2 linked regions of the Caenorhabditis elegans genome follow. The protein of the gene in region 1 purifies or fractionates together with the protein of each later gene. This does not show direct contact. Each region holds a gene or a part of one and is shown on either strand. Other genes may lie near its edges.

Region 1 (11,335 bases):
CATGGTTTCCTACATGCTTACCTATCTACTTCATGTCTTCTTTTATGCCTGCTTTCGAGCCCACCTCATACCTGTATGCCTAAGTGCCAGCCTAATACCTACATACATACTTACCTCTATCATGCCTACCTGCCTTATGCCTACCTACGTTTGACACAGTTTTTACAGATATGCCTCAGAACTATGGAAACGCAATATTATTAGCTAAACGCCGTGCACGGAATGAGCTACACGGAATGACTAATTCCATATTTGATCATTGGAATGAGAAATCTAAAATTTCAGATTACGGGCAAAAAAAGAACTGGCACACAATGGTCGAGTAACAAGATCTCGAATGGTACGAGTTGCTCACAATTACGATCAGGTTTTATGTATGTTGGGAATTTATTTTTAGATAGTATTAACTCAATCCTTTTGTTTGACAGTAACAAATTATGCATGACCATTCCTACCTCAAAGACACGAAAATCTCCTTAAAATAAAATATTTTAGACTGAAACCACTGTTGTGACAAAATATGTAGCTGACCCGAACAAACAAGGTGAGGACAGATTGATGCGAGCTTGTAAAGTGGATAATCCATTTGAAATCATAAAACTTCTTAATGGTATGTTTAGTATAATTGAACTTAAATTCTCATTTTCTCACATTCAGAAGGAGCCAATCCCAACGCGACTGATCACGCAAAAAATACTTGCTCGAGTACGGCAGTACTGAATATGCAACCGGAAAATGTCAGAATTCTGTTAGAGTAAGTGAGATGTAGATCAACAAAAATTGATGGAGTGTTGCAAACTTTCAAAATATTTATTTCTGAGTGAAATCTATTTTTCCCTATACATCATTTTTCTGAAATTATTTTCAGTCTTTTTTATATAGAGTTCTGAGTTTATAAACAAAATCTTCAGAGTCGGAGCCAACCCTGAAGCAATTTGTCTTTCAAATGGAAATCGACTAATCCATGATATTCTAATAATGATGATCGGAAAAGATAATAAAATAATTGATTTCCAAAGTGATCGAGAAACGATTTTGAAGATGTTCCGTCTTGCAATGGATATTGGAGTTCGGATGGATTTGATCAATAAAAAAGTGAAAACTGGTTGTGATCTGTTGAATATTCTTCTGAGAAATGATATGAAATGTAAAGAAGTGAGCTGTTTTTTCAATGATAAATGTATAATATATTAGTGAATTTCAGATCGAAGAGATGAGATTTATTATCAGAAATCACAGGAAGAAATTAAAATTGAGGTGATATTGTTTTCTTTTTTTTTCATATTGTGGCTGTTAACTTTAAATTTTTTAATTTTCAGACAGGACAGCTGAATACAATAGGGTCTGATAAACCGGTTAGTTTTGTGAAATTTGCGAGGATTTTTTTCAACGCTTATTTTTATTTTCAGAGCATTCACTTGGCAGAAGAGGTTGAAGAAATGCAGATGTTGGAAGTCACTGAAAGCGATTCATGGAAGACACAGGAAAATCCAATTATCAATGTACGTAAGTCACACGATGTTTTCCTGAGTGGGTCTCGCCACGATCTTTGTTATAGCGATCGCTACACATTCCATATTCCACAAAATAGTTCACTAGATTTGAAAAATTTATGAAGTTTCAAATATTACCCAGATGCGAAATTTTGCGAATATTTTCGCTGATTATGTTCTAAATAAGTTTTTGAATAAAGAAATAAATTTTTATCGAAAAGCTATGAAAAACCAACGAAAGTTTGGAACTACAGTACTCTTTGAAGGCACATATATTTTTGTTTTGAAAAAAAATTGTCGTCTCAATACCAGGTACCGTATTTTTGAACCAGCAATCGCTGAATTTCGCGCCTGGGTAGTTCAAAACTGGCAAGACTGCAGATAAAAACAAAACTCGAATGTTGAACCTGGATATTTTTAGAGATCTTCAAACGAAGATCAGCATGGCAAAGAAAAAGAGCAAAATCACCTGATTTGTGAACAAGAAACCGTGAGTAGACTGATATTAATTCAGAACCTAAAAATAAGAGCTAGGATTTTCAGAACATTTATGAAGAAACTTCGAAAGCGAATATTTTGAATTTGGAAATGAAACGAACAAGATTTGAAGATGTGAATATTCCACAAAGATTCGAACCAAATATAAAAATTGCAGATTTATCGAGAATTGGAAACCAGAAATGAAGTATGTCGAATGCGAGAAAATTTTGGAAGACACGACGGTCCTGGACTCATTATTCCATGTGATACGTCATATAACTTTCCTTATTCTTTAATTGGAATGGTTCGTTTTTCATATTTAATGTAAATAATACAATTCTAAATCTTTTTCAGCTTTATCTTCCAGTTTCAACTCCACACAGCGCCTCAGATCGGGAGAGAAAAAGAAAGTGGTTTTGGCGCGGGAGCGCGTTTGCTGCAGACGTCGCACGAATTGGAATTAATGTGTAGCAAAACAGTAAAATATCGCGTTTTTGCTGGATTTTAGGGATTTTAAAGCAATTTTCAACATGCGGGACCGCCCAGAGACTGTTTGCGATGCGATTTACTTCATTTTAATATAAATTTTTCCCCAAATAAGCTCGAAATGAGCTCTGAATTTCGGCAAATCTGAAAATTTTTTTTGATGACCAAAAACAGAATTTTGCAAACAAAAATTGATTTTAGAGCAATTTATTGCATAAATATTCAATTTTAGAATTTTTGCTAATAGTTTGAATCGTTTTAAAGAGTTTTAGTCATTAATTTGACTGATAACACAGAAAAATGATTTTTCTTTACAACGAAATCGATAAAAAAGGAAAGCAACATTTATCAAGGGAAATCTTGCAAAATTGGTTAAAAACCTTTTATGAAATCGAAGATTTCACTAGAATAAAGCTACAAATCGATCAAAATCACTAAAAATAAAATAGTTCTGATCAAATTTCAATGTCCCAATCTACCAATGGATCTATGCCACGCCAAATTTCTTATGTAAGTGTTGCTCTCCAATTTTCCTTAAAAAATGGCTCAAATACTCACATAAATGATCAAATTAACATTTATTACAAGTTTCGTGTTATATTTTCTTTTCCTTAATAAGGAACCATCAGATTCTTCCTACCCTCTGCAGCTCTAGATACCTCAACTTCGACAACTCCTATCTACTCGGAGAGGTGAGATACCAAAAAGTGATCAACTGAGACCTTGTAGAGCACATCAAAAACTATGATATTCAATTTAACCTACGTTTTTATCTTTCAAGATGGGGGAGTTAGACGTACATTTGTATTGCATACTTTTTGTTATTATACTGGCTGCTCTAACTCCCTCATCTTAAGAGATAAACACATGATTTTAATTAATTAGTATAGTTTTTGATATGTTCTGCAATTTCTTAGTTAATCACTTTTTGATATCTTGCCTCTCTGAGGAGATAGGAGTTGTCGAAGTTACAGTATTTATAGCTATGCGCATATGAAGAATCATATGGATTCTCATCATGCTATACTACTTATCATCTGCTTTTTGTGGGAAACAATGATTCAAAAATGTTTTTTCAAATGATCAAACAAGTTGTGATTTGATCTGAACATTTAGTGTTGGTTTAGTGAAGATCAGCTGCCAACTAAACAGTTTCCGTTGATTTGTGCATTTTTGAACAATTTCAAGACTTGAAACCGTGTTATTTCTATCAAGCTGACGTTTAAAAATTGGAATCAAACATATTAATGCTTGAAAAAATTTGTTTCGCGTAGAAATTTTGTCATAGAGTTAACTTGTTCTAGTCGGTTCGAAAATCAATGAAAAAGCAGCCAAATCTTGAATTTGTTCAATAAAATGTTTTTTAAAACTTTTTTAAAGCAATAATAATCCCAATATTTAATTATTTTTTCCAAATTTCATCTTGAAAACTCGAATAATCGCGAAATTTCGTCTGAAACTCATTTAATACCGTAAAAGTGTGCAAGCGCGCTCCGTTGGACTTTCCAATTCTCAATTTTCTTAACTCTCCCGATTTGAGGCGCTGTGCTCCACCAATCTTAACGAATTTTCAATCGAATTATTGAGCTCAAGAGCTCTCATCAGGAACTTCATAGATTTTATGTAATTTTTGATTTTCTGTTCCCTAATTTTATGATTATTATCCGAATTAAACTTTAAAAACATCAAAATCATTTGAAATTTCTTGTTTCCCTCCTTTTTTTTATTTGATAAATTTTCTGCGCAAGTGCGCTCCATTGAGAATACAAATGCTCTCTTTGGAATTAACGATTTTTAGTTTATATTTGTTGAGTGTTCGAGATTCTTTTATTGTTTTAATGGTTTGATTCCAGTTTAAAATGTTTCTTAATTTTATTTATTCCTAAAACAATCTATTCATGTAATATAACTCAATTTTAAAGACGATTTTCGAGAGAGAACAACGTTATAACTGTTTTTCTTAATTTATTTTCATTAAACCGCTGTATTCAACTTCTTTTATTGTTCAATACAATCCTGAATACCTAAAATTTGTTAGATGATTTCAAATAATAAACAAAATTCGCTAAAATTCAAGTAATTTGCAGATGAAGCATCAAGTCGAAACACAGGCTCTCCCCTACTCGACAATCATCCTTCACTGCCTGAAATACCCGGCAAAGGGTGTTTTTGGACTGCTGATTGGAAACAAGAAAGGAGACAAAGTCACGGTACAATTTTATTTGTTTAATTCATTAAATGCGAACATTTTAAATTAGTTGATCGTCATGTCGGTACGCTTATTTTCTCCAAAGACAGTCGTCTTTAATACCAATTATCGATATATTAGAATTGCTAAGCTGAAAGCAAGAAAAAATAATTACGCTCTCCACCTCAAAATGATGAACAGTTGCTGAAGAGAGCATAAAAAATACTTTTCTACGTTTTGAGAAGAGTTATGCGATACTAGATTTCTGAGTCAGGGAAATGTTTTAATTTAATGAATTTGCCATCCTATCTGATAATTTATTTTCCAGGTAACAAGTTGTGTTCCTCTTTGCCATGAATCCACTCCACTCGCACCTCCTCTGGAACTTGCCACAGCCCTCGTCCATGGAAAGTTTGGTGCCTCCCTCGTCGGCGTCTATTTCTCAAATGCAACTCCATCGGACACTTCTCTCAACGTTTATGCCACTCGACTCGCCGACAGAATATCTTCTGTTACCTCTTCGGCAGCGATTCTCGTACAAGTGATGAACGAAAGACTGGTGTCAGATTGTGAACAAGACCGCCTCGTGGCATATGAAAAAGATGGAGATAGTTGGAAAGAAACGAAGTAGGAAAAAACATTTGATGTTATATATTCATTTAGTATATTCATTTCAGAACGATTTTCCAAGGTTCCAACTTCTTGCGTGGCCTTCAAGCTGTTATTCAGAAGAAGTTGTACCGAGAGCTTTCCGATTTCGAAAACCATTTGGACAATCCCGAGTTCGACTTCTATAACACAAATCTGAGCAACAAACTCGTGCAAGTGGCGGAATTCAGAGCTTAAAAGCTGAAATTATTATCCTAATTCGTGTTTTCATAACTTATTGCAGTCATCTGAATATATTATATGTTTAATCCCCTTCCGTTTTCGGGTTGAATAAAAGATTTGATGACAGCTGAGTCGTGTAGGATTGGTTGCCATGAAAACGCATTAGAGAATGCGCAGGAATAGATGTCAACAAAAACGATGTTTTAGGTGGGAAGCAATACTTTATCAACATTCAGCAGAGATACGAAAACGGTGAAAACACCGGGAGACATAAGCAATCAGTTTATTCGTAGACCCATGAGTTGATGAATGGGCTGGCGTAGTCGTTGATCTCCTCCTGCTTGAACCAGTGAGCAATCTCGCGGTTGGCAGAGTCAACGGCATCGGATCCGTGGCAGATATTGCGTCCGGTTTGGATGCAGAAGTCTCCGCGGATGGTTCCTGGGGCGGAAGCGAGTGGGTTGGTAGCTCCGAGCATGGAACGTCCTTGCTTGACGACGTCAAGTCCTTGCCAGACCATGGCGACGACTGGTCCAGAGCTCATGTACTCGATGAGGGATGGGAAGAATGGTTTGTCCTTGAGGTCTTGGTAGTGAACCTAAAAATAATAATTTAACTGGTTGGGCCTAAAATTTTGTAATTTCGTGAAAACGTACCTCAAGATGGGCCTTGGAGGCGGTCATCTGCTTGAGAGCAACAAGCTTGTATCCGCGCTCTTCAAAACGAGCGATGATCTTTCCGACGAGACCACTGAAATTTAAAAAATTAGGATTTTGAAAATCCTAAAATCCATTGAGGATGCTAGAATAAGTTTCTTCAAAGATAACTAACCGGTGGACTCCATCAGGCTTGATGGCGATGAAGGTTCTCTCAGTGTTGCTCATTTTCGGACAATCCAACTTGGAACAGGTGTCAACAGCACAGGCGACAGCGACGAACGCAAGTGAAAAGAATAACCCGCCGGCGCCCATTCAATCAACTCCGACACAAATGAAACGAGTGTAACCGTACTTCAGCACGTGGCGAGACCCGACCTCGCAGCATTCTTGGCTTTGTGCCAGAATTGCAATGGAGCGCCTTTACTGACCACTGTTTTCGACCAATTTTTTTGGACACCAATTGAACCTTTTGCGAGAATTATGTTCTGTCAAACTGGTTTTCTTCATATGAAATTTCATCGGGATTATTGAACAAAAATCGGAATTTAACGTCACCTGTAACGTCAAAACACATTGAGAAGTGAATCGCTGCATTTGATATCTGAAAAAACGCGTGTGACATAAATAGTTTATTACACTTTGTCTCAAGTTCTATGACTTATGTCTGCTTTTCGTGTCTCCATGCAACAAGCACAAACGCTCTGCATATTCCCATTAAACTATTGTGCCTCGTTACGCGTCGAACTTTATTTCATGCTTGATGACCTGGCTCCGCAAATTTCTTTTTTCGTTTCAGACACTACTTCACAAAACTATTTGCAGTACAAGGAAACCGGTTCTCCCATATTCGCCACCTTCGACGCCCTATGTTTAGAATCGACTAAATGTAAGGTTGTCTATACTCTTTCTTTTCTGCCATCGACTACCATTTAACTGTTTGCCTACCAAACCGTGAGCTTTGTTTGCAGAACAAAGTGAGAGCAAAACTGTATCGAAACGGGGAAAGTCTCTCGGAAAGAGAGCCTCTGTCTTATCATTTATCACCTGCTGATTCGCGAACGAAGCCGATGGAGAGCGAAGTGTGAGTTTTGTAGATATTTTAAATTACAGAAATTGTTTCAATGATAAATTCTAATATAATTTATCTCATTCCAGTGTCCTTCCCACGAATGGGGTGATGAAAAAATGGACAAACTACGTGAATGGATGGCAAGATCGATACTTTGAAATCACAGAGGGAAATCTTGTTTATTATCTGTCAAAAGCCGAAAAATCCCACGGATGCAGAGGAAGCATATTTCTCAAAAGTGCAATAATAGCTGTGAGCTTTTATTGATTTCTCAGAAAGTTCTTGTATATTTAAAAATTTAGGCCCACGAATTTGATGAAAACGAATTCTCAATATCTATGGGCGAAAACGTTGTCTGGTATTTGAAAGCAGAGAATTCACAGTCAAAACTTCTATGGATGCGATCAGTTGTCCGGGAAACAGTGAGTGTTTTCTGAATCTGAATTTGGTATTTTTAAAACATAATTTTTTCAAAAAATTACTTCCCCAGCGATTCTCTCGGAGTAATTACGAGATAAAAAGTTGTATATTCTTCGTTTAAATATGCTCCGATCATAGTTCAAACACCTCTCTTATGTTCCTTTTTACATCAAAAACACCATTGTTGATCTTTACCTGATTTTGTCATCCCGTGTAAATATATAGTACGGACGGTGGCACACAAAAGTCAATTGAAAGTTCGGGAATAGTACGAGGCTATAAAATATAAAAAATCGTTCACTTCGAAATTCTACTTTTAGAATCAGAGAAATCAAGTTAAAACTTCAATGGGAAAATCAATAATTTTCAGGTACAAAACGATTCGGATTATAGCTCGACTAGCACTAAAAGTCATTCCCGTAATCCATCGGTTTCCTCAGTTCTTGCTACTAATAATCAAAAATCTGATGATAATGAATCAACGAAGCTTTTTGCCACGAAACTCTCCGAACTCGAAGCATACCGAACTATGTGCAAGGATCAGATGACATCAATCGAAAGACTTCTGGAACAAGGTGGAGCCAGTTGTATTGTCCCACAAGCCACGATTCTATCAGTAAAAGCAACACATTTAGCATTGATTGTTAATATTAATCATATCGTGGATCTCGTCAAGACTTCTAAAGTAACAATTTGCTGATAGTTTGAGAATTAAATCAAATAATTTTCAGGTGGTAATACCAAACATTCCATCTTCTTCTTCATCCACTCCACCACCATTTCGGGAACCTTTATGTGCAACTAGAAGTGTTTCTTCTTCTGTTCTTCGTCGTGAATCTATTGTTGAACAAGAATACATGTCTGACGATAATTCAACAATGACAACTTCTACGATTATTGCAAGACCTGATATTGATGTGGTGAGTTTTTTGTTAATATGTAAATTTAATTTCGAGAAAAGAAAATCCAAAAAAGTTTTAAAATCCTAATTCTTATCTATAAGATTATGTTAAATCAATTTTTCAGTAAAAAAATAACTCTCAGATAAGTTTTAGAATGTTCTAAAAATGCTCTATACTTGCTTCAAAGTCATTTTGCTCCCCGATCAGTGTAACGAAAGCTTGGCACTGTTATTGAGCATTTTTCAGAACTTACTGCAAAATTTAAAGTTTAAAGAAATTATTTTCTAAATACATTTTTTATATCAATTTCGGATCAAAAATTTATGAATCTATCGCAAAAAATACGCCAGACAATTTCTAAAATTTACAATTCTTGCAAATTTGCATATTTCTCATTCAGACAAGTGATTGTGATGAGTTCTTTGACGCCGACGAGTTTGATGTGGACTCGAAAAATGGAGATACCGTTGAAAAAAGACAAGAAGAGGTGGAAGACAAGAAAAATGGAAATATAGTTGTTCCAGAGGAAGAGAAAAAGAAGACTAGCTTCAGAATTGTAAGCTCATATTACAAGGATGCAAAATTTTGCGATTTTTAGCGCCTTTTTTATTAAATGCGAGAAGTGTACGCGCCTTTTAATTTTAATATAAGTTTTAAATAAATACATCTATAAATAAAAAATTAATTAAAATAAAATTCGCAGAAACGAGAGTTTTTGCCAAACTTTCCATATTTCTCTACTAAAACATGTGCTATTGCAGGAAGGAAACCCAGTTACTGGTCACTATGACGACCTCCTCGTGAGCCAAGAACACTCTCTTTACACCACAATCGATAAGCTCGCTCTAGAACAGCTCAAGTAAGTTTATCGTTTTAAAAATCATTTTCAAATTCTCAATATTTCTAGATATGCTCTTGCCGGTGCTGAGGATAATGTATGGAGTCTGTTCGCTGAAGACGGTCCAATGAGAATGTATACAAGACAAATTGAAGATGAAGGAGGTGTTCCTGTTGATCCATTAAAGGCGATACATGCAGTTGATGGTGTCACTGCACTGGAATTCATGCATTATTTCTATGATGCACGGTATAAAATGCAATGGGACCATACGCTGGAAGCGATGAGCGTTGTTGAGCACATTTCACCGGATTCTGTGGTTCTACATCAGAAACATAAAACAGTTTGGCCTGCTGCACCGAGAGAATCATTATTCGTTTCACACATTCGACGAGTTGATGAGCACAAGAGGGATGGAGCACATGATTTGTATATTGTGTGCAATAGAGATATTCAAAGAGCCGATGTTCCGGTAGGTTTTTGAATTTAAAAAACATTAAATCAATTGTAACTGAAACTTTCAGCTTGGATCCTCATCTTCTGTGAGAGTTGGACTAACGGTATCAATGATCTGTGAGACTACAGTGAAGGATCCACATATTGATCGAAAATTAACGAGAGATGATGTTAAATGCAATATTATTTATGTTTCGCAAGGTAATACCATAGTTTTCTTTTTTTTTAATTTTTAAATTTAATTTTCAGTTCACCCCGGCGGATGGGTACCAACTGCAGCTCTTCGTCACGTCTACAAAAAAGAATATCCGAAATTTTTGAGAACTTTCACCGAATTCGTCAAAAAGAATGTGAAGGGAAAGCCTGTCAGCATTTAAAATGTACTAATAAACTTCTGATGTGCCATTTCATGTGTATTCCGTTCCCGATGGTCCTTTTTTTCTGAAAATTCTGTAACTTATAATGTACAATAGTCGTTTTTCGTGTATTAGCTACTTGGTTGTGAACTGAACTAACTGATTGATAAAGCATCTAGGAATTTTTCCCATATGTGTAATAATTTTCACAATGAAATTTTAAAGTTTATTCAAAATTTGGTTAGACATTTCGAATGTAATGGTTCATCTCCACATGTTGTTTTTTAACCAAAGTTAGGATATCCTCGAAACGACTGAAATATTATTTCAAAAAATTGTACATGAGCCTTTAAGACTCACAATTTGCGAAATTATTGTGTTTTCCAAAAAAAACGGAAAAAAATTATTTATTGTCCAGATACAAACTTTTGCTCCAGAAATACGGTACAAGGTCTTGGCACGGCAAGATTTTATTAAATTCAAGGGGTAGTACTGTAGTTTTAAACTTTAGTTTGTGTAAGATTTTTATTAATTTTTCATATTTAGTGTTTTCGAAAAAAACTTTTTTTTAATTGTTAAAATGTTAAAAAATTTCAAATGTAATAAAAACTTATATATTTTGAAAATCGTGAGAAAAGTTATGAAAAGTCCGCTGCAACGAGAGTATGAATTACAGTACTCTTTTTTCCTTAGTTTAATTTTTTAATTTCAGTATGCTTCGGTGTTTTCTCTCTTGAATTGAATATTGATCTTTAAATGCGGGCTCTTCAACGATACACATCAATTGGGCTGGTAACTTTTGTAGTTGGAGTGATATTAATAGAAGAGCTTCATCTTGGAAAAGGATACATTTATCTTGCCAATCAGTATGATCATGAAGTTATCAGAAATATTTCAGTGATAAGAAAAGGTTTTAAAATCGCGAAAATCTATTTATCCAATAATTAAAATTTTCCAGATAAAATTGAAAATATTGGAATAGTGGTGGTCCTGAATAGTTTTGAAGATGAAGAAAAATATCAAATGGCACTGGACACTGTCAGATGTTATGGAAGACATTTCGAGTACGATGTTCATATTTTTCATGGGAAAAATGAGAAGAAAATATCTGAAAAGTGTCAGCAGGCTGATGTGAGCTTGAAACAACCAGGTCTATT
Region 2 (14,570 bases), on another chromosome or scaffold:
ATTTCCTCAAAAGCTCATATTTTTCAAAATTTGGCAATTTGCCAAAGCTCCGAAATTATGAAAAAATCTGAAAATTTTCGGAGTGTTTTGTTATGATATTTGGTTGTTTTAGGTCATTATAATTGTACTTAGACTAAATCCCTACTGGCGCTACTCCACCTTTAAAACTGAAAAACTTTAAACTCAAAATTCGTAGTTTTTAGATTATGTTTTAGTGTTCAATTGAGAACCATGTGAGAAAATCTTTTTCAAAAAATATCAAAAATTCATAGAAAGTTAAATAAAATGCTGGCTACGCACTGGCAAGTTTATAATACAATGTTGTAAAAAATGATGAGCTTCTGTGATGAGCCCATTTTTCGCAAATACGTTCACTTTGAAGGAGTTGTTGTACATACATACAGAGGTAGATTTGAAACAGTAGCTTATATATGGTCTTGTTTAAATTTTTTAATCTACCTAGTTTTGTTAAAAAGTTAGAGAAAAAACCGCATTCCATGAAATTAAATTAATACTGAAGTTTCTCAAAAAGTTTGATGACACAATTTTTAAAATTGAAATTCCTTGTATGTTTCTTTATTATTTGGTTTTTAATCTAATTTTTACAGATTTAGCGTTAATTGATAAAAAATTCATCGCAATGGCCGAGTAGAATTGAAATCTTTTTTTTAAATTTTTCTAACTTTTTAAATGATTTTTTTTCCATTTCACGCTTAGTTTTATTGAGTTTTCCGTTTTCTGAAAATTAGTTTCAATGGGTTTTTGAAATGTGACGTCATCTTAGAAAAACCGGAGAAGGTCATTTAAATTTTCAGAAAAACAGAAAACTACAAAAAATGATGGGTCTGGGACATCAGCCATACGAAATTTTTTTCAAAATTTTAAATAAAATTTAAAAAAATAATAAAACATTTTTTAGACTTATTTTCTATATATAATATAACTTTAAAGTAGGGATTAAAATTTTCAAACAAATGTTTTTCTTCCATTATTTTTGTAATAAAAATTGAAACATAGACAAGTCCAACCCAGAGCGAGGAAAAAAAATAATGATCGGGATAAAAAACGTTGTTTGCTGATTTGTTGGCGGATGACACAACACAACGGCAAGTGCTCGATGAGTATCGAAAATATGCTGCTGCTGGGTTGCTCCAACTACTGCTGAGGTTGTGCTGTGCTACTCCTGTGCCAGAAGAAACTGCGCCGTCATCACTTTACACACCATTCTTGCTGCCGAAGAGAAATGGCACTGCTGGATGAAGAAGAGGAAGAGAAGGCGGGTGCAGAAGAGGAGTAGATGAAAAGATTCGTTTCTCCTACTTTTTCAATCACCAATCGATAAGCAACTAGAGTCTCAAGTCCAAGAGTCACTTTAATGATGATGGCGAAACGACGCAAAAACAGGAGAAGCAAAGTTCAGAAGGAAATGGGGGGGATCAATCAAATGTTACTTTTGACCTGAGTTTTTTATACTGTTCAATGTATTTAAAAGTGTGACATGGGTTGGCACAGTGATAAGTATTCAAGAGAGTTTCACAATATGAACTCGTGGTGTCAGAGTGTCTCATTTCGGTTTGATCTACAAATATCTACAAAAAATGCGGGAGTTGAGACACAGAGTTCTTAACTGATTTAAATGGCTAAAAACGTGCTGACGTCTCATTTTTTGGGCAAAATTTGTAAGTCAAACCGTAACAACCTGACACCACGTGTATGAAGTATTTCAAAAAAAATGAATGGAATCTTGAACAAAAACCTTTGAAAACTTCGGTAAAATTGTTTTACCCTCAAAATTCGTGAAGGGAAATATTCTAATCTTCTGTTTTGTATCCAAAAACTAATCCGAGTTTTTAGATTCTTTCTCCTAGCCTTCGTTTTTTATCCATAGAGGTAATAAAAATGTTGCAAGCTTTTATAACAAAAAAAATATTAAAAGGTAAAATCATTCTTTTCTATGTATACTCAACGTGCCAGTTGTTGACTTATGACACATTTGAAATTAAATGGGTGCAAACAGACAACTTCTACAAAATTTTAAAATGTAGTGCTCGTGAAAAAGTTATTAAAATTTAAGAAATACAAAGCACCATTTTTTATTCTGATTCTGAAGGGTTTGAACGAATTCACAAGTTTCCTGAAACTCACAAACAAAGTATAATGTAAAATTGCAAAATCGTTAGTAGCCACACTGAAAGAGACTACATAAAATGAGAAACGGATATGGGAAATTTTCAACTTTTAAGCAGTCGTCATGTACGTGTTCGACATGTTCTTTTATGTTCCCGAACCATTAAGTGTCAGCAACTACGCTGATCAAATGAAACCTAAAGTCACTAACCGTCATCAATTGAAAAATTAGTTTTCATTTAAGTAATAAACTGGCTGGCGTTCAGTTGAACGGATGGTTCCATCAACAAGTATGCAATTTCGACGAGTTCTTTGGTATTTGATATCGTTATAACAAAAGTATGCCAGAATTGTAGTTCTGCGTTGACAACGATTCTGACGAGATCTAAAATTTTAAATCGGAAACATTTATTAAATTTTTAGTACCTACTCACCAGCGCCAAAAACATGTTACATTGCTACTTATTAGAGTTTGGCATATTGAGGGTTTATCTGCGAAGCTTGAGGATATGGATTAAAAAACTTCTATTTGTTTTAAGTATCAATTGAAAAGGTTCCTTTTTTTAAATGTACAAGCGCAGCAATACACATATAATAATTTTCAAATAAAGTTCTCGTTTTAGTACATGCTTTAAGTTTTAAATGGGTTCTTTTCAAAAGTGCCAAATTTTGTCAAGTTTTCAAAGTCTTTTTTCAAGTTTTTTTCAATGTCTTAGCAACCGGAATTTTCTAATATCTTTTCTTCATTGTGGATTTTTTAACCATTAATTGTTTAAGGTATATTTTCCGTTTATAGGTGCACCAATTCACTATCATTTGTTCATCTTTCGAAAGAAAACATATACCTACCAATCAATGAAGAAAATAAACGTAATAAATTACCAAAATGTGATTACAAATGATAATTATTTTCAAGATTGCTTCCGACCGCTGCAAACCAAACAATTTCACAAAAATTAGGGATTTTTCCAAGAATAAACAGACTTTCCTACATCTACATTTATAGGGCCAATGTTTTGCACAAAACTAATACTACATTTTTCCGTTTTAACTTTATTCCACTTTCACGAATAAATACAAATTCTACACAATACGTTTCAAAAATCTATAATTTAGGCTTTTTCAGATCATTCTTCTCAACGAGGGAAAACCTAGAAGAGCTTATAATCTAAGAAAAATCTATAAATATATTTACTTCTTATAAATATGGGCTTAAAATAATCAAAACTGGGATTTGTGGTGGAGGGGGAATTGGGTGGGATGAAGAAAGAACCTACAAATGCACTAAAAGAGTTTATACATTGGGTGGCCATAAAGAACATCTAAATAAATATAGGCAGACTGGGGGGGGGGGGTTATTGTAAGTGACAAAGTATTGCTATAGAAGAGTAGGAAAAATGTAAAGTTTCAAATCATAGAAAAAATAAAATCAATAAATTATTGAACAAAGTGAGTTTATAAAACATGCAAATAAAATTATTGGGAGGTGGGGGAAAAAAAGAGAAATAGGACTCGATTGGTTGTGGAAAATTCGCCGCTGACAAAGAAAAACACAGTTGGAACGGGAGAGAGAATGGAGAGGTGGATGAATTGACGCCTAGTTAGCGCTGGGACCAATGCAATCCTCAACGAGACTTGCTCAAAAGGTGGAAGAACTCGGGATATTGATTAATTTAAAAATTCTCAAAAAAAAAAAAGAAATGCTTGATAAAACGGGGGCATTGTACAATTACTATGGGAACGGTAATAGTATGACAAGTGAGCTAGGATGGAGATGTAAAAGCATTTAGAAAGGTCTCTTGGGGACTTGCGGGCGAGCTGGAATCTCTGGTGCTCCGTTGGATGGTGTCGGTACTCTTCTGAAAAAAAAAACAACGTTTCAGATTAATACTACAACAACAGAAAGCTAGACCACCATTGAAACATGCAAATAATGACGAAATTATGAAAAATTTGATGAGAAAGAAAAGTTAGCTTTTGCTTCTTTCTGTAGAAAAAATCACAGGAAGATAGTGGAATATAAAAATGTTCCGATAAAGTGCCAAGGGATCACAACACTAGATAGATGCTGCTAATACACATCACGATTACAACAAACAATTATACACTTCTCTGTACTGCTTCTTCGCGATTAACAAACCTTTGGTCAGTGGGGGAATTATTCACAACATTATTATCTAGGCGGTGCCATGTTGGGTGGTGGGCCGCCTGGTCCCGGACGCCTAGAGTGGTTGGTACACGTTAGTTTTAGGTTTTATTCTGACTTGTTGACAGTATTTTTTTTTCTAAATTTCAGAAAAAAAATTTTGACAGAAGAAAGAGTATGACGGACCAAAATAGGAAAGATTAGAAGAGATCTGGTGCTCTTTTCGAAAAAAAATAGGCATAAACTTACGTTGGAATCAACGGTGGGTACATGCCACCGCCGCCTCCTGGCGCACCTGGTGGTGGTCTCATGCCTGGTGGTGGTGGGGCACCGGGTCCTCCGCGTGGTGGCATTGGGGCCTGACGTCCGCCTGGTGGAGCAGGAGCCGGACGCGGCACCGGTGAAGGTCCAGATGGGTGTGGGCGGTAGTCAGACATCGGCAATGGCGGCGGCTGGTCGCCAAGGGTGCTCATGTTGACTTCAGAGATAATGCGGAGCGCCTCCTTGCAAGCATGGTACATTCGGAGCATCTCCTCGCGCTTCTGGGCTTCTATTTGAGATTCCTCCATGAGAGCATCAGTGTCGCCGCATTGGTAGAGATGGGCCAAAAGTTCATCTTTCATGAACTCACCTGTCTGAAATTATTGAGATATTTAGTTTAAGGTTTATTGTGTACGGTTAAAAAAACAGGCCGTGATGATATCACGATGAATCATTCAATTCTTTTAAAATCCCTCACCTGGTTAACAATCAAATGCATCACCGCCTTTGGAACCAGGTCCTTAATTGTCTTGGTAATGATTCTCATGTAGGAATCAACCAAATTACGGATTGTCTCCACCTGTCTCTCAAGTTGTGGATCAATCGAGGTATCCTCCATCTCTTGTTGGGACTCATCTTCCTGTGCCTTCTGCTTTTCTGGATAGACACCAGCACGCAAGAATGAAGCCTTCCACGCATCAATTTCGTCCAAATTGGTGCATCCCAACTCAAGCTGCTTGTAATCCTTGTAGATGTTCCTGGAATTCAAAGGGTTATGGGAGAAGCAAGTGCGTGAGGTCAAGGATACATGAGTTTACATCTTCATGCTGGTTCAGAATCTTTTATCTAAAAAGCATTTTGCATGCTGTATTTTTTTTTGTCTGAACTGAAACTGTCACAGCAGAGAAAGAGAAACAGGAAAAATAAGAAATTGACTACAGAAGTGAAAGGTGTTGGTTTCAAGGTGGATAAACTTTTCGGGTAAAAAAAATGAAAACAGATCACAAGGACGACAACACAAAGGTTTTTCTGTCTTACAAGTCATTAAAGAAGAAGAAGAAGTGAAGAAAGTAAACTATACACTCACCTCCTGCAAATTAATTTAATTTAAACAAATATTCAAAAAAAATTGATTTTGTGTGTGTGTGCGTTTTTTGTCTCGTTTCAAAACTCATGCTCAATTTAGTGTTCCTGTGTTTCTGCCTAATGAAACTCTAATGTGGAAAGAAAAGCGTGCGGGCTCTTGGAATGTTGAAATGGCAATCAAATCGCAAAATTCTTGAGTAACTCACTTTCCGTCGGGGTAGAACAGAGCAAACTTGTGGTTACGAGACATAAATCCACCCTCAATATCCTTCAGCTTGACACCATCCAATGGGAGCATGTACTTCTTCTCCTTCTCCTCATCATCTTTGTACCAACTCAAACTGTCCGACATGAGCACAAACCAATTGTCCTTGGAGCCACGCACAAACGATACGTTGCTCAGTGAGAGCCAGCCCTTTCTGATCACCTGGTTTCCAAGATTCTTCTTCGCTGATTGTCCTTGGGAGGCTTTTGCTTCAGCACTAAAAAAATAAAATTAAACATCTAAAAGCAAAGTCTAAACTCCTACTTGCTGAATCCAATGAAATCCTCATGGTTTGTGTTCATATAAGCGAGTTCGTAGTCAACAATGAGCCCAATTTGCTGCTTGGCAATTTGCTCACGTTCACGCATATGCGAGACGACGATTCTTTCCAGCTCGTCACGAAGACGTGGATATCTAGCCATAGTGTCAGCGCACTGTCTGATCACATTAGCCAACTCGTTGACCACCAGATCAACGCATTTCAACGATGGCTCCTTCAGACGGGTGATTTGCTTTTTGGCAATTGCCTCAAACGCCATATCCGGAGTGAAGAGACCGACGCGGATACCGTGAATGTTTCTGATGGCATACTGGATTTCTTTGCGCATTTCTTTCTCGTCAATTTCCATTTTAACAATCTCAAATGGGAAACGCTCATGGAAAAGCCGATTGATACGGGCTCCTCCACTGAGCTCATTGGTTGAAACCAGCTTTGCAGAGGAACCTTCAATGGAGCGCTCAATGTCAGCATTGAACTGGGTAACCATTCTGCAAAAATTTTGTTAATAAAGCACCTCCATTGAAATCACTTACTGCAAAAGAGCCTTGGTCTTGCGGCCTGGATCATTTGGCTGGTAGTTCTTGTACTCGGCCACATCCTTTTCCATAGCAAACATCTTCTTTTGAAGACTATCACGAAGTGTTGGCAGTGTATCACGGATATGATTGGTGAGCTGTTGATTAAGAGTGTGTTGAAGGTAGCTTGTTCCCAACCGATCAGCCATATGTCGGTAGGATGGGTGTGAGATGAAGAACTTTCTCTCGGCGTCCAAAGCAGCTCTAATATCCTTGCGACCGACAATATCCTTCTGCCCACGATTGACAACTCCGACGTAGCCACGACGAAGTGTGAACAGCTTGTTCTCGAGGATCTCGCGAGCATCGGTTCCCTCGTCCATCAAGTCAAGTTTGGTGAGGACTCCAATCGTGCGAAGACCCTGTGGATCGACTTCCTTCGCAAGTTTCAACGCATCCGAAGTGGCGAGATCGCTGTTGGCCGGAGTGACGGCAAGAATGAGGCAAGTCTCACGGTTGATGAATGTGAGAATCATGTCACGGATCTGTTGCTCAATATCTGCTGGTTGATCTCCGACGGGCACTTTTGTGAGACCGGGCAAATCGATGAGTGTCAGATTTAGAACTGAAAAATTAAGTATGAATTAATTAAAATGTGTGAATTTTTCCAGTGATTTTGTGCAACTCACTGTAAATTTATGAAATCTTTAATGCAATTTAAATTTTAAAAAAAGTTGCATAAGTCTGGTTTCAGATGCTCAAATCATCCAGCGCACTTGCGTTTCTGTGAGTTTCTAAATGCTTACCATTTGGAGAAAAGACACGCAAGTTGATTGGATGTGGACTGATTCCCTTATTCTGTCCAGTGACACGATCAGTCTCATCCTCAATCTCTTTCCGAACTGCATCAAAATCCACAAAGCGATGACCCTTCTTGTGTAGGAACTCGGCGTACTCATTGCGATCTTGAATAAGCTGCAAAATAAGTGGACGACGTGTTACGATTCCTGATCCACGTGGCAAGAAGTCTCTGGAAAGGAAAAAAATTGTGATTTTATTTCGCAAAGTTATGTTTTTTTTCTTCTTGTGACTCACTTTCCGACAAAATTCTCCAGCACCGACGACTTTCCAGCGGACTGTCCTCCGACGACGGCGATCTGTGGAAGTTCGAAGCTGACAGATGTGCCCAGCTGGGAGAAGGCGTCCTGGACACGATTGATCACAGGGATCAACGCCTGCATTCCCTGGTTTTGCCACGACATGGCTGATCCTGGTGGTTATACGCTGAACTACCTGAAAATCGATTTTTTTAGTCGATTAATGATATGAGGAAGAGCATTGAGAAGATTTAATGGAAAAAGCACGATTTCGCAATGAGGTTTTCGGAGGTTTAATAATTATGTTTTAGAATGAAATTTATCACCTTCAAGAATATAGAATATAAAATTAGAAAAAAAAATCCTCAAATCGCATTTGAAAAAACAAAATCAACAAATATTCAGAATCATTGTCGGCAAAACGGTGTTGAATGTTTGGAAAACAAGAAGAAGAAACGATCGGCGTACAAAAAAGCGCGGAGAGACTCGGAGATGCAGAGACTAAAAGTGAGGGTGAGGCAAACGAAATGACCGCAGTGAGTCAGCCTCGCAGTCAGTACTGCGGCGGGGAGAGAAAAAGGCTTGGCCAGCGACGGCGGAGAGCGTGCCAACACACACTCATCGCAAAACGCGTCAGCAGTAACCACGACAAGAAATTTCTTTTCACGAGGAATTTTATGAAGAATTTGGAGGCTTGTTTAATGAAAATATTGGAAAAAAACAGAAGGTTGTTAGATGCAAAAAAAAACTAAACGGGACACATTTGAAAAAGAAAATCCAAATAAGTAGTGGAGGAGAAATGAAAAATGAAAAAGTGGAAAACAAAGCGAACAGTTTTGGATTGCCGAAAACCAGAATTTGGCGGGTAGATCAATTCATTGTAAATGTTGTGAAATAGTGGTGTGGAGAGGGTGGCAGCCGGCCACCCTTCTGTTTGTAGTCTAACCACCTGCGTCTCTCAACTTACCTGCTATCTCGCTGGAAACGTGTGAATGGAAGTTAGTGAGCAAATAACATCGTTTCTTTAATAAAAAGAGGCAGACTTTAAAAATTTTTTTTATTGAGAATGGAAATGAGATGGATGACCTTTGGAAATTATGCAAAATAAAAATAAAATAAAATATTTCAAAATTGTGAAACTTTTACAACAGTCCGATCAGTACCGTAGGAAGAAAAGAAAAATCGTCATCTTAGCAAATATCGAGTCACAATTGTGACCAGAAATCATGATTAGTAAGAAGGTTTTTCCACGTTCTATTTGTTTATTAGAGACGAGGAAATTCATTTAGTCCAATTTGTTTAAACAAAATATGGAATTCATTATGATATTATAATTTGTAGAGAATTGTCGTATGTTCATGATTGTTAAATTGTATCACAGTTTTTCTTCTTTTTTTTTCAAGACAGGGTAGTACTGCAAATTTTTTTGGCAGATCTTTAAACCCGCCCGATTCGAAATAATCATCAAGCTCTAACACAGATAGATTGAACATATATATATGCATATCATAAATATGAAAAATATACTCATTTTCATTTAAAAAGTTGGGATTAAAAATAACGGCTTCAAATACTCCCTGAAAATTGTCACTTGCAGTAAAAACTGATGTTCGATTTTCTGACCAAAGGCGATTCTCTAGCAGGATTCAAGGTTTCTTTTCAAGTTTTATAGCAGAAACACAACATTTCAACCAGATATTACTTCAAAATTTTATTTCTGCTAATTTGGAAACTTGGATATTAATTCCGAAATTAACAGATTTGTAGGTTTCCAAACAAATTCCAGTTACTTCCTATTAGAAAATTTTACTAAGAACCAGCGGTGTGTAAACAAATAACGAATTTAACATTCCCATACTACTCCTGATAATGAATTTGTGACTAATCAGTTGATGTACAATGATTTCATATGCTCTGAAATTTATAAAACATTTATAAAACATGGTTTAAAAGTATTGAAAATCTAGCAAAATAGCTCAATTGATTTTTTTAATTGTAAAGCAAAACAGAACATGGAATAAATAACAGCTGAGTTTTTTGTTGTCCCTTCACTCCATAGCGAGCAAAGCAGGCTGAGGAGAATATCAAGGAAGAAAAAGAAAACAAAAACGGAAAACGAAGAATAAGAATAAGAAAAAGAAAGAAAAACGAAGCAGAAAGAAGGAAAAAAGAAAAAGGAAGGAGGCGTTTTCGATTAGTCGATATTCTGCTATGTATGTGTGCTGCGCACTGCTACTCGGCAGGGGCCCCCCCCCCCCGCGCGCACATTTTTCGCGTATGTACATATTCTCGCACACAGGGAGAGCAAAAGCAGAAGAAGAAAAGCAAGACGTGTGTGTTAGAGCTCCCGACCGCAGTTTGAAGCTCTTTCTGCCCTCTTTCTCTTGGCTCCACAAAAAAAAACGCGGAGCACTGACGGCGCCGATGACGACGTCGTGGTCCGGGAGGCTTGCTAAGCCAAACTCACAGAATAAACGACAAAAGGAAAAGGAAGAGAAGAAAGTTTTTGTTTTCGTTCCAAATCTAACCAGTGTCTAGATATATATTTTGTTAACAAAGTATTTGAAATTGCATAGTGACGGACGGATAGCTGGACTGAAAAAAAACTGGAAAAAACAAATATTTTTCGACATACAATTATTTTCAAAGCTAAATTTACACAATATGCAATAGGAAATTTTCAAATATCTATTGAAAACTGTGCCATTGAGTTCTAGAACACTGCTCACAAGTGTGTTAGTATCAAAAATTTTGAAGAGACCTCTGCAAGACAACATTTTTATAAATTAAGCGTTATAAAAACCACATTCACATTCATAGAGCCATGAAATGTGCTTAACAATAATTTTTGTATTCTCACATCCTTGTAAAACAAACTGTCATCTATACTTAAAAGTGGAGTAGCGCCACGGGGGAAAGTGTTAAAAACTACTTCTATGGTGCCAAACTAACCGAATATCACAATAAAACTTTTCAAAAATATTTTGAAAATTTTTTATTTACTGTCAAAATGTGACAATTACAAAATTTTGGCAATTTTCCTAAACTTTGACCGGATATTTTGAAAAATCTAAAATTTTTTGGAGTGTTTTATTATGATATTCGGTTGTTTTGGATCAGTATAAGTGTATTTAGACAAAATCCCCACTGGCGCTACTCCACCTTTAAACGCGCTATCCATTCTGGTTAAGGATACCAGGAGCAGTTCATGTTTATACATTTAAGACTCAACTTAGAGTTTGAAATTCAACAAAACTGGTTTGAATTGGATTTATATACTCAATTTCAAATGATGCTATTCTTGAATAAGAATAAATTTTGAATCCTAAAAAAACGTCAAAAGCAATCGCTGGAAACGAAAACTCCATGGAAGTTCTGAGGCTTGTATCCAGAGGGACGCCGTAGTCGTCTAATTGGCAAAATTTGATTTATTTCAAATATCTCCTTGCCTTCACGCAAAAACAAAAAATGCTTAGCGAAAAAAAAGAAGCAAAATTTGGAAAATATAAAGCTTTAATTTTTGAACATTTGTCCATGTTTTATATTGACAAGATGGAAGGACATTTGGAAGCAGCTGTCCTGTGGCATTGGGATAAATGCTGCGGAATTAGAACAGGTGTTGGAAAATTAAAAAAAAATCGAGTATTTCAAAAGTTGAATGTTCACAATAAAAGTAATCAATTTATAAATGTTCTTTATTCGAAAAACACCAGGGATGTGCGGCAAATTTGCTGAATTTGCCGTTTGCCAAGCTCGGCAAATTTGCCAATTTTGCCGAGCACGGCAAATTTCAAAAAAAGTGACTTGCCGAGTTTGCCGAGCCCGGCAAATTCGGCAAATTACAGTAGTTATGATTCAGTAATTTTGATGCTCCAAAAAACATTTAAAAAAAATATCTACGTTTTCGGAGTTTGTTGAGCACGGCGAATTTACCGAATTTGCCAAGCTCGGCAAGTTTTGGGATTTGCCGCACGCCACAGAAAGACATATTCAGTTAAGATTCAAAGTTTACTAATTATTGTACATAGTTGGGCAATTTCTTCTAAACTTAAATGGCTTACATCATAAGAGTCTCTTTTTACTTAATTTAGAAACACCATAAAATGGCAATTAAACAAAGTTAAGCCCACGAACCCTAAATTTGAGAATGTTGTTCAAAAAAATACCAGAAAACGCACACGGCTTTCATTTGCTTATGTTTCATAACTTTTTCCAAAATATGTAGATTAAATGCTAAATTAAAGTGTGCGGTACAATCATAAGGCCGAATTATTAAAATAGTTTTTAAACTATAGGTCTTTGAACAATAATAACATCACTAATAAAAACCAGTCCAAATTTACACGAAAACGATTTGCTGCAAATGAAAAACTTCCGCTTGAGCAACTCAGAACTACTTGAGAAAAGTTCATGACCATAGATCGCACTTCTTCACTAACCCATATCCATCTAAATTCGGAAACGATTTTTTGATGATTCCCATAGGAATCCAACTCAACTTTTGAAGACCTCATGTGTCTGTTTCTTTTTGTCTCGCACAGCCACATAACCCCCACGGTCACATGGGTAAACGAAGGCAGCTTATGAACCTTTTTTTTCCACCGATTGTAAATGACCAAAGTTTAGAATAAGAGACCACAAATTGCTATGGTGTGACACTACAGCTTTAACATTTTGCAAGGAATATAAATGGCAAATTCAAAATAAAACTAATCAAACAAAGTATAGGATTCGTTAAAAATTCGGAAGATAGAGGAAGAGAGCATTTCGGCTCAATTTCCTTTTGAGTGTGGCTCACATAAAAGTACAGTGGGCTCATGAAACGTGAAAATGGCTGCATAATGATATTGATTTTAAGAGAAAAACGATAGCAATAAAATTTAAAGTATGGCAAAAAAAAGAGGCACATGTTTTAGGAACGTACCCTATTTCAAATTGAGCTACTAATTTATTTTGAAAAGTTATATTTCGGTTTATAAAACTACTAATAGTAAAATCGAAAATATAAATGTACATTAAATTTAGAAATAAAATTTAGAAATTTCAATAACATTTTTCACCAGTTTTATTTGGACATTTTAGCTAATTTTCTAAAACATGAAATAAACCTAGATGTTCGTTACATAATGTTTTTTTTTTTAATTTTATTGGTACTATTCAGCATAAATAGCTCTGATATATGTTTTGAAAAAATTTGCACACGACGCTAAGATTTCAAAAAATATTTCAATCCAAGCCTGGACTCAAATAAACAACAGTCTGAAAACTAAACCCACTACAGCGTATTGCCCAAGTTAAAGTTTCCAACGCATCAAAAACATGTGAAGCTTTCCAGCAAGCACGCACTTGTGGAAATCGGAGCTCTCACTAGGAAGCAGCTTGCCCTCCAAACTGGATGAGAAATTGTAGGCAGTGAATAAATCAACGGGCAGAAAGAAAGAAATGGGCAATTTTCTCTCTAAAAATGGGCTTCGCTCACTTTTTTCCGCATTTTTTTCTTTCTCTTATTCAGAAAATGAATGTCAATAATAACGAGCCCTATAAAAAAAAGAAGGAAAAAGGGACTTTGAAACACAAATTTTTTTTTTCAAAATGGAAATGTTGAAAAGGAAAACGTCAGAGTGAAATGGAATGAAATAAGATATCTACAGAAGTTTATATTATGATCAGCAATATCGACTTACAAGTTTAGTTAGTCACTAAACAATAGAATTATGTACATACAATTCACAAATTGTGTTGTTTTAAAAATTGATGGAGAAAATGATTAAATCGTGTAAAGTCGAGAAATAAAATCTTGAAACTTGTTTTCAAAAAAAGAAATTGAGAGAAAAAGTTGAAAACGAAGAAGAAAAAATAAGGAAAAAAACATATGAAATATTTCAATAGTTTTTTCTCTAGGTTTTTCCTCAAATAAAAACTTTGACATGCTGAGAACCAATGAGGCGAAAGATTTCAAGGAGTACAATATCTTCATACATTCAAAGTTTAGTCCAAAAAAATGAATAAATTCCAACTTGTAATGTTTACTGCGTCGAAGAGGGTGATGCAAAGCTTTTTTTAAGGTGAAGTAACTTACTGCTAGAAGTTAGTAGCGGGTAAAGTGTGAAAAACTGCTCCTATGGTGCCAAAATGACAGAATCATTTACTATATATAAAGTGCTTATTCTGTGTGACCTTGTGTGTAGTCTATGTAGTTTTTGTAGTCGGTGAAGTTTTGGCTTCTGGAGGGATAGTGAATTGGGGTTAGTGTAGGGATATAGTTGAGGTACTGTAGTGGTACAATAGCGGTACGGTAGGAATACTGTAGGATTACGGTTATTTCAGAAAAAAAAAATTTTCAGCCCCAGAAGTCGGGGGCCGCGCCGGAGGTGCGGTCCACGGCTGGTATCATAATAAAACGTTTCACAACATTTTTAAAAAATTATTGCGGCAATTACTCAGTTTTTGACACTCATACTTTGGAAGTCGACCAAAAAAATTGTTGTCTTACATTTTTTATACTGTACTTTTGGAATGTCAGCATTGGCAACTCGAATTCAAATTTTCAGATTTTGTAGTTGCCAAACGTACTGATTGTCGAAAAATTGTATTAGTTGGAAAAAAATACCCCCATTATTAATATTAGAATTTGGATTTTCAAATATTCATAAATTTGAACTTGATAAATGCCAAATGCCGAATTGGTAATATTTCTCAATTTCCTAATTATTGAATTCCCTGAAAAAAAAATGATCTACTCAAAGACGGATACAACAATAAATATGCAGAATTAGTTATTCACATAAATTAG

The links.
Region 2: the proteins of ndk-1 (region 1) and dyn-1 purify together in Caenorhabditis elegans (affinity purification with western blotting; one study listed by BioGRID). This does not show direct contact.

The regions. Positions count from the first base shown.
Region 1 is NC_003279.8:10,547,433-10,558,767, forward strand, and holds ndk-1 (Nucleoside diphosphate kinase), read right to left. Parts: upstream 6,482-11,335; 5' UTR 6,363-6,481; coding exon 6,310-6,362; intron 6,229-6,309; coding exon 6,135-6,228; intron 6,077-6,134; coding exon 5,762-6,076; 3' UTR 5,687-5,761; downstream 1-5,686. Other genes in the region: F25H2.3 (ANK_REP_REGION domain-containing protein), read left to right, coding at 559-610, 658-754, 912-1,147, 1,205-1,257, 1,320-1,355, 1,410-1,502, 1,915-1,983, 2,037-2,105 and 2 more; F25H2.4 (MPN domain-containing protein), read left to right, coding at 4,547-4,669, 4,976-5,274, 5,325-5,493; cert-1 (Ceramide transfer protein), read left to right, coding at 7,205-7,218, 7,293-7,458, 7,509-7,628, 7,997-8,311, 8,358-8,546, 8,929-9,084, 9,290-9,387, 9,436-9,838 and 2 more; F25H2.7 (Nucleotide-diphospho-sugar transferase domain-containing protein), read left to right, coding at 10,935-11,088, 11,137-11,309.
Region 2 is NC_003284.9:15,562,293-15,576,862, reverse strand, and holds dyn-1 (Dynamin), read right to left. Parts: upstream 7,943-14,570; coding exon 7,776-7,942; intron 7,711-7,775; coding exon 7,487-7,710; intron 7,306-7,486; coding exon 6,699-7,305; intron 6,654-6,698; coding exon 6,150-6,653; intron 6,103-6,149; coding exon 5,827-6,102; intron 5,293-5,826; coding exon 5,013-5,292; intron 4,909-5,012; coding exon 4,523-4,908; intron 4,350-4,522; coding exon of another isoform or gene 4,301-4,349; exon of another isoform or gene 4,268-4,300; intron 3,987-4,267; coding exon 3,914-3,986; downstream 1-3,913.